Linked DNA regions of Bombyx mori. The protein of the gene in region 2 purifies or fractionates together with the protein of the main gene of each other region. This does not show direct contact. Links are inferred from orthologs where the notes say so. Each region holds a gene or a part of one and is shown on either strand. Other genes may lie near its edges.

The links.
Region 1: the proteins of striatin-interacting protein 1 (region 2) and striatin-3 purify together in Drosophila melanogaster (affinity purification with western blotting; 4 studies listed by BioGRID, with this or other methods). This does not show direct contact. The link is inferred for Bombyx mori from reciprocal best matches to the Drosophila melanogaster genes Strip and Cka.

The regions. Positions count from the first base shown.
Region 1 is NC_085118.1:7,132,257-7,136,547, reverse strand, and holds the start of striatin-3, read right to left. Parts: upstream 2,903-4,291; 5' UTR 2,510-2,902; coding exon 2,291-2,509; intron 1-2,290.
Region 2 is NC_085115.1:8,792,517-8,796,953, forward strand, and holds striatin-interacting protein 1, read right to left. Parts: upstream 3,062-4,437; 5' UTR 2,869-3,061; coding exon 412-2,868; 3' UTR 98-411; downstream 1-97.

The DNA.
Region 1 (4,291 bases), on a different chromosome or scaffold from region 2:
TGTCAGCGCAATTCGAGGATATCGCATCGTCTTCTTCGAAGTATCATTTATATTGGTCAGGACATGGCTCTGAGACCCAAAATAAGGTGCTCGGTGCAGACTTCGAATAGTGAGGCGAGCCACGCCTGGAACCCTGCAATAAGGACACTGGGGCTGCAAACCCAGGGTACTACGCATCGTGGTCTGGTGTTTCTGGAACTGATTCACGCGTACTTCGCTTGGTAAATTGTGACTGAGAACATTTCACACTCAGTTTAACGCTGGGGCTTAGCACCCATCTCTCTCTCGGCAATAATCCGTAACTTTCAACCCACCAGTCAATTTTCTTGATTCCATTCTCCTTTGCCACAGCTTTAATAGGTTTGAAGGTTATTGCATGGCTATCAAATACCTGCACTAGTACCCACTTTCCTATTCTCTTTTTCCATATTGCAAATAAATTTTAACTGCACACTTGCAGACTTGCCTGCTTAGTGAGCACTTTGCAAGAATTGACTGTGGTGTCAGCTTAAAATAGCTTTGCCCATATCTTCTCATGGATGTCGTTAAAGGCGATTGAGGATTCACCTGAGATAGGGCACCAGCATTCTCATAGTATTATAAGAGTTCACTGGAATCGCTAATCGGCAACTACCGGTGGTAGAACAGGTCACTATACCTATTTTTGCAGTGAAGTGGTCATGCATTCCAGTTTGAAGGGTGAGATATTTGTCATACAATAAATGGCAGCTTTGATTCATGACTTAAAGTGGTACAAATTACATTGATGTTTATGGGCTATAGTAACCAATTTATACCGAGTATAGTATAGACTCATTTACTCTTGTAAACAATAAAATATGAATTAAAATAGAATAGAAACAAAAGCTTGTGGAATACCTTTTATAAACTTACTAATCAATCTGTAATCTTAGAGGGAAAATATCATAACAGCTAAAATATACTATTTTATGAATTTAAGTTTTCAATTGTAACTCAGTTCTTCCTCAAAAAGAAAAATACCTCAATTCTAGTTGGGTAAAACTTGGAAAGTGAGAGACAAATACTTATCAATACTTTTTAAAAACTTCTAGATAGGCCATAGACCATTTCTACAACATAGCTATCTCACAGAATCCGAGAGGGATGGAGGACTTACTAGCTTTTTATGACCGCGCAACAAAATCACCATTGGTCCTTACTGCTTCTAAACTATTGATTACTGTTGGATTAAAATGGACCTGTTTAATGCAACAGTACCAAAAAGTATCCCTGCAAGCTTCCAAGATTACGGAGGTTTCTAAGATTGATATTTTGAAGATTTGAGGCTTCTGGGTTTGACTCAGTTTTAGTCACTTGAGTGATAAAACATAGTTTTATCTAATAATAGCCTTGCTTAAGAACTTGTTCAAATGAATTTATTAAAAACATGTTACTGGTTACAATTATGTAGTTTACTTTTAAAGTATTTAATTGTTTAGCATCTTTATTGTATGACAAACCACTGCCTATTTAACATTACCATTAATTCCCATCATCATTTATAAAAACAACAAAATTGATGATTACTTTTTACTGCACATGCAATATCATTCACTTTAAAACAACCTGCTCAAACTGAACCAGCAAAAATAAGCAAAACGGTGTAGGGGAATAAACTAAAATTTCCCTAACCTCATAACGGTAAGAACTAATCATATTGGCGCAATGTACTACCCCTCAAAAGTAATATTATACAAAGATGTTGGGTAAAAACTTTTTGAATTAACCGTAATATATATACCATTTAAACAATGTAGCATAGAATATTTTCCTTTCAAATATGTGAATGTTAATTTTTAGGTAAAACAAATATAAATTTTCTAGCTTTCAAAAAAAATTTTTTACTGTTTAACTAACATTGACAATATTCTCACTATACATGCGATTCAATTTATTATGAAAGAGATAATTTGAATACGTTTCTTTGTTGGTTTTAGACTTATAAATTATAATTTCTCAATTTATTTTTTATTACAGGATGTTAACTAACATTGTAATAAAGCAGTCAAATAGGTGTTGCTTTTTAACTGATAAATGTTTTATTTCTTAACACTTCTAAGCATATACTTAGTAGTACTATATTTAGTAGTTAAAAATATTGTAATTCTCTAAGTAGCATATACATAAAAATGTTAAATACTAATTTTAGTAGGATAAAGTACTTCAATTGTCTACTTCCAAAGCACATTATTGAATATGGTATAATATTCATAGCAAACCACTGTAATCGACAAAGATGTTATCAAATAAAAAATATAAATAATAATACCTCAAATTCTGCTTTGTCCACCTCCCATTGTGATCTCTCCAGTTCGAATCTCGCCCATTCGTGTTGGATAAAATGCAAAATGCCCGGTATTGAATACTGAACACTTTGACTGGGTTCTTCATTTTGTTTATTATTTACACTGACTCCAATTTGAGATCCCACTTGCCCTCCGTTGTGATGAGATACGGAGTTATCATCCATGGCTGTAGGGATTTTCATGACATGGCCACCATTACCGAACTAAACTTGTCACACACCTATTATAACTATGACCAAGAACTATTTAAAATGAAATACTAACACATTATTAAATACTATTTTTCAAACAACGTCCACAGATGTGCCACCATCTAAAATAATTTTTATCGACGATTTCATGAATGACAAAAATTATTGCATGACGGAAAGAAAAGTCTCATCGACGTCCGTTCGCTACATTGCTTTTAAAATGTTGCCCTATTCAAACGGTTAGATTTTCTAACATAAAAAACCTACAGGGATTAAGTACTAAACTCAACTGAATTAATGTTATCGATGTAAATTATAGATTTTATAGATCTTACATGGTTAAAATGACGAGATTAACTGCTGTCAAGTAGTCATCAGATCCTTAATCTGAAAGAACATCTCTATGCTGTCTACGTTGATTTAAAGTGGTACGTTTAAACTAAGTCGCGTAATATTATTGCTGTTGCTTTGTAGCATAAATGATAGCAGTACCGACTCGGACGGGTGCAATTATATACCATTTCCAGTCACAAAAAAATACAACTACGGCTTAAGATATTGGCGATTTAGTTTGACACCATCCAAAAGTAGAATGGGTTTCTGGGGTCGCCAGATCTTCTCAGTTGATCGCGATTGCTATCTGGTCCATCAAGTCAAAAAGTCCTACTAAGTTGAGCACCGTGAGCTCATTCATGACGTATGCCCACAAATTGTGGTTATTGGGGACGAAATTAGTGTTAATAGAGAAATTTGCTAGGGCTGGCACTCCTTGGTTTTAATTAATTTATTTATTTAGTTTAGTTAAAGTGATCATCAATAAAAAAACATTGAAAAAATGACAAAAGTCAGACAGTCTCAAAAAGTCGGCCACAACTGCGAAAGTATAAGAACGGGTAATATAGATTGTATTATTTCTTTTTATCCTAAACTTTTTTGCTGTTTTTTTTTCTTTTCATATCATGAACGTTACAAAATGGGTATATTGTCAATGCAACTTAATTTTAATGAACTCTGCTGTGTATTTATTTAATTTGTAATTGTAGGACTATCGTTGAAACATATATTTTAATAATGATATACCAACTATACGAGTTAAGTACTTTCATGAAAAAACTGTGTTTATTTAAAATCACTAAGTATTTGTGACAGTTTAATTTATTAATTTGGATTTTACTCAATAATTATAAATTTGAAATTGCCAACGTCGAAAATGCAATTTAACTTACTTTCCATACCGTAAAATGGGGTCATCACGGATTGAGAGGCGAATGGGGAAAAAACCAGGAAAATCTTTCGACGCTCAATATTAGTTTTTTAATCGTTGCAAAATCTTCTATTTTTTGTAGTGTAATAGTAGAACGTTAAAAGTTCACAAAACAACTCTGAATATGCATGATAATAGCTGCTAACTTATAAAAATTGCATTTCAAATTAACTTCTTGTGGTGGTTTTATTTTAGTGTTAGAAACTTTGATTTCTTTTATTTTGCTGATTATAATAGAAGACGACTGTGATTTATAAAAGTTGTTTAGTGTTTGAACCATCATATATATTAAAGGTAAGTCTCAGTTGTTATTGGTTTTAATGTTTTTGATAAAATAAAAATACATGTAAAAATCTGTTGTTTTTGGGGATATTGGGGACGTCTCAGGTACAAATAACTACGAAAAAGGGGTCAATTGGGATGAGAATAAGTAAAATGGAAACGAACTAAGTATAAATAGGTACAGGTTTGTAGGATTGTCTATGTAGTTATAACAATATTTTTTAAAT
Region 2 (4,437 bases):
TCAAAATTAAACAAAGCGTTTTTGGACACAAGTACATATAAACCTTAGTAAACTTCATTACAGAAAATAAGTGTAATTCAACAAAAAAAAAGGACACTTAATTTTACATATTGCATATATTTAATAATATAATTTAACATCAAAATTGTCAAAGGTCTACATTTTATGTTTTTATTTGTTCTTAAAGAGAGTTTTTATATGATAATAGTCTAGCCAATTAAAAATTAAGTAGATTCAATTATGTGACCCAGGTCTCGGGCTATTACTACTCCCCTATAATCTATCAGTAATAGTAGCATTCTCATTTTGCCTATCTCTCGTAGCAATAACAGATAATACAGAAAGTACAACCATTTCTCAACTTGCAAGCCAAACCATGTACTTGCCTCTATTGGCCAAAAAGATTAAACTCTATGTAGATAATAAGACATCCCAGTTGATCTCATTATTATAGACTTCTTGTTCGAGCCACAATTCATAATTCTCTTTGAACTCTTCATCTAACTCTATGTTACTCTCCAGGACACTGTTTATGTCTGTGTCCAAGGGAGTCAGATCAATTTCTTGTTCTGTACCTGTACCATATCTCCTGTGGTTGAATCTGTCTACACTGATTCTTAATGCACATTCCTCACTTTGAAAGTCCCAAGGTCTTGCATCTACATCATTTCCAAATGCCCAATCATCATTTAATCGATGACGAACTTTTGAATATATTGCGCTTATTGTTTTCATGTTTGTTTTTCGCCACTGTCTTCCTAAATATTTAGTTTGCATTTTTAGTAATTTCAGTACATAAAACTGCATCAAGGCATGTCTTACTTTTAATGTTCTTTTCAAAATTGGTGCGCTTTTGAATACAACTAGCATCATGATCCTAGCATTCTTCCATTTTGTTAATTTATTCAAAATTCTCAATAAGTTTATGCATGAGAATACATTTCTCCACGAATATGGAACAGAGGAATCTCCAATGTCTAAATATTCCTTAGTTAATTCTGGTTGTTCACCAATAACACAAGCAGGGAAATCAAATATTGGGATGGAATTCTTGGCTCCTACATAAGACAGTATGTTTTGATTGAAGAACTTGAGAACCAGCGGCATACAGTTTGCATAAACTAAATGTTGTGACATAAATTCAAATTGGTAGACATGATTTAGTTTAAAATGCTTCAAGAGGAGTAATAGGATTGCTGTGACAGCTTTCACAATAATTTCTTTGTGTCTGTTTACATCTATGCCTAGTTTTAAGGATTGGAGAACTGTCATGGGCATTTCTTCAGGTAACAAATCAGCCATAATATTAATAGAATATGTTTTTGCAGTTGAAGTGGGAGCTGCAGCCAAGAGTATCTTTAGCAAAGCAATCATGTATTGAGGCAAATTAGGTAGCATAGCTCTATATAGAATTTCTGCTTCAGTTTCTTCTACATATTTTTCTCCCCTAGTAAGAGGACTCCATGCAATCTCAATTTCTCTCTCAACTTGGATTTCTGATAGACTTGTGTACATGTGTTTCTTTAATATCTCAATACCCTCATGGATGGGCTGTGGCAGTCCAGCTATTGTTTGTCTATCACCTGGTAAAGAATAGCCTACAAACTTAATGCGGACATTATCTAGAAACATATCAATATCTTTTTGACGAACCTTTGACTGCCATGGCAGACTACGGGGTAGTGGCGGTGGGGGTGGTGGACTATCCAACTGTTTAAAGTATACATAATATGGACAATTTTGGCTATTTTCACCTTGCTGATTGTCACTTGACATTGACTGAAACTCCATAGGATAATCTTCAGATCCATTTCCAGTGTCTTCTTTGTCAACAAATATTTGTTCATCAGTTTCATCTAGAGAAGTCTGTTTAGTAAATGTTTGTCTCCTCAGGGCTCTTTCATTTTCCTTTACTTTTCTTTGACTAGGATTTTGATTTTCTAACACATCTGCAGCATTTGGAGGTGGTGAACTGGCTCTCATTCCCTTTATTACTTCCAACGTATCTTCACTGATGGGAGGGAGCCCATGCTGCTCCCTCAACTTTGCTTTTCTTTCTTTTAGTTCCTTTGAGCCACCCAAGTAAACTAATAACACTTTCCACAAAAGTAAGAGAACTTTCTTCATTGGAAAGTGTGGTGTAGTCCCAGCACACAAATGCGTAACCATACTTAATAGTTTCACAGGTAACAACTCATCACCAAATGGTGTGCCTAATTCTTCAGTAAAATTTTTCACGAGATGTGCATACTCAGAATCTGGGCTGTTTTTCTCTGTTCTCATGTATTCAGTTATAAGATATAGAACTGTCAGTATCACTCGCAAGTTTGTAGAGTCAGCTAACGATTCTGCCAATTTTCTTGAAGCTATAGCTGAGCTACTATGAACAATCTCGAGGTTGAGCAATTCCACAAATATTGAAAATGTTCCCATTTCATATAATGTCATAATGTTCACTCGAGCCCAATGTCCTTGTTCGGCATCCGATTGCATTTCTGCCCAGCACCCTTGGGCCAGATAGAGAATGCAACGAATAGCACGCATACGAATTTCGGAGATAGCTACATCGAGATGTTCCAATAGCATCATTACTACAGTTTGTTGTTGTTTTTTTGTTAGTCTTTGCCAACTCGGTGGATGATTAAATTCTTCCATTATATCCTCAAAAGCCTTAACGTTTAGCTGATATTCGGGATGTTCCGTGTAACTATATATTTCAGCAATTTCGTTGGCTTGAGTATCACAGTCATCGTAGACGAAGTCAAGCTCGGGGCTCTCCATGTCGTTAACGCAATCTCCTTCTTCCAGGGGACGGCGAACATCCGGTAATTTAGTACCTCCGCGACGACCATTGCCGTTGGTACCCATTTTGTATACAATGTCATCCAACTTATAAAGTCAACATTTCAGCGATGTTAATTTATATTTCCAAAAATGTATACATTAATATTAAATCCGAAATTGAAGCAATTCGAAACAATACCATATTAATTACAGATTACAGAACATAGAATAGAAGTAGAGCACTAGATAATTGACAGTTTTTTATTGACATATTTTTTCCATCAAATATGAAAAGAGAATATAGCCCATACAGCCAAAAATTTCGTAACAAAGGCCTATGCCAAGATTTTGTTACATAATATAAAAAGTAAAATGGAGCAAATTTTATTATTAAGTTATATAATTTAACGTCAGAAAAGATTAAACCGTAGGTGTTGAATGATATGAACTAAAAAAAAAATTAGTAATAATTTATAGCGAGCTCAATTCACTTTTTCTTATAAAACGCCGCGTCTTATAAATCTTATTTTATTTACTAATCCAGCATTTTAATACACGTCTATCAGATACTTTGGTTCGCAATGTTTATATTGAAAATATCAACTTCTAACAAGGAATCCATAGAATCTTTCAATAAAATTAGGAAATATGCATTAAAAACAAAAAAAAAGCATGCCTGTATAAAGAGGAAGCTGAAAAGAAAAATGACTTTTTTTATATCCTCGAGATTCTGGTTAGAACATAAAAACAAAGTAAAAAAAATTGTTTTATCATTGAAATTTGAAACCACTTGAGATTACAACGTGCAATTTTTTTACACTGAGAGATTGTAAAGCCTTTTGGACGAATCTATTTATCCAGGACATTTATTTATTATTACAATCTATCTAATCAATAAAAATACCGACAGCTATTATTTTAGGTATCCTAAAAATAAAATTCCAACAAATGTTTTGAAACGAAAATCTATTTTTTCACTCTTTAAAAAACTGCTATTCTGGGTTGAGAGCAATATGGTTTGTTCTCACGTCAAACGTCGTTTGTATGACACTGGAACATTTGTCATACAACAATAGATCCTTTTACCGCCCTCGCAAAGCCCACTAATAAGCAGAGGGGGTCGTTTGCTCCAGCCACTTTTCTTTATAATTGAATTAGCAAAATTACTTTGATAATTATTTCAATTTTAAGATTGGCATTTGCGTACCTAAGGTTCTATTCCAAGGTTGAGAGCTTGTAGGAAACTAGGAGCGCTACAGAAAGGGCTAGTTGTGCTGGTTTCTAAAAATAACCATTTTCGATTCAGTAACTAGGTACAAAAAACGACAAAGTGACCTTCCTCCAAACGGGGTTATTCCTTGGTAGATCGACATCACGGTATTGAATGCTTTTTCTCCGGATTTGTTTAGGCAAGCTTATGTTTTAAACATCTTTAGCGTGGTTAGGCTCCTTTAAACTTTTCAATTACAAACATTTTAAATTATATTATCGAAAGAGGATCTCAGTTTTTTATTGCATTGGCTAGCTGCGTCAGGCCCCTGCCTACCTTGAGACATGAGGTCGAAATCATAATTGTATTGTGTAACGTATCTCTCGCGCTTCAATTTATAAAATATTTAATTACAAAAGTAAGATAACAGATACCCTTAGATA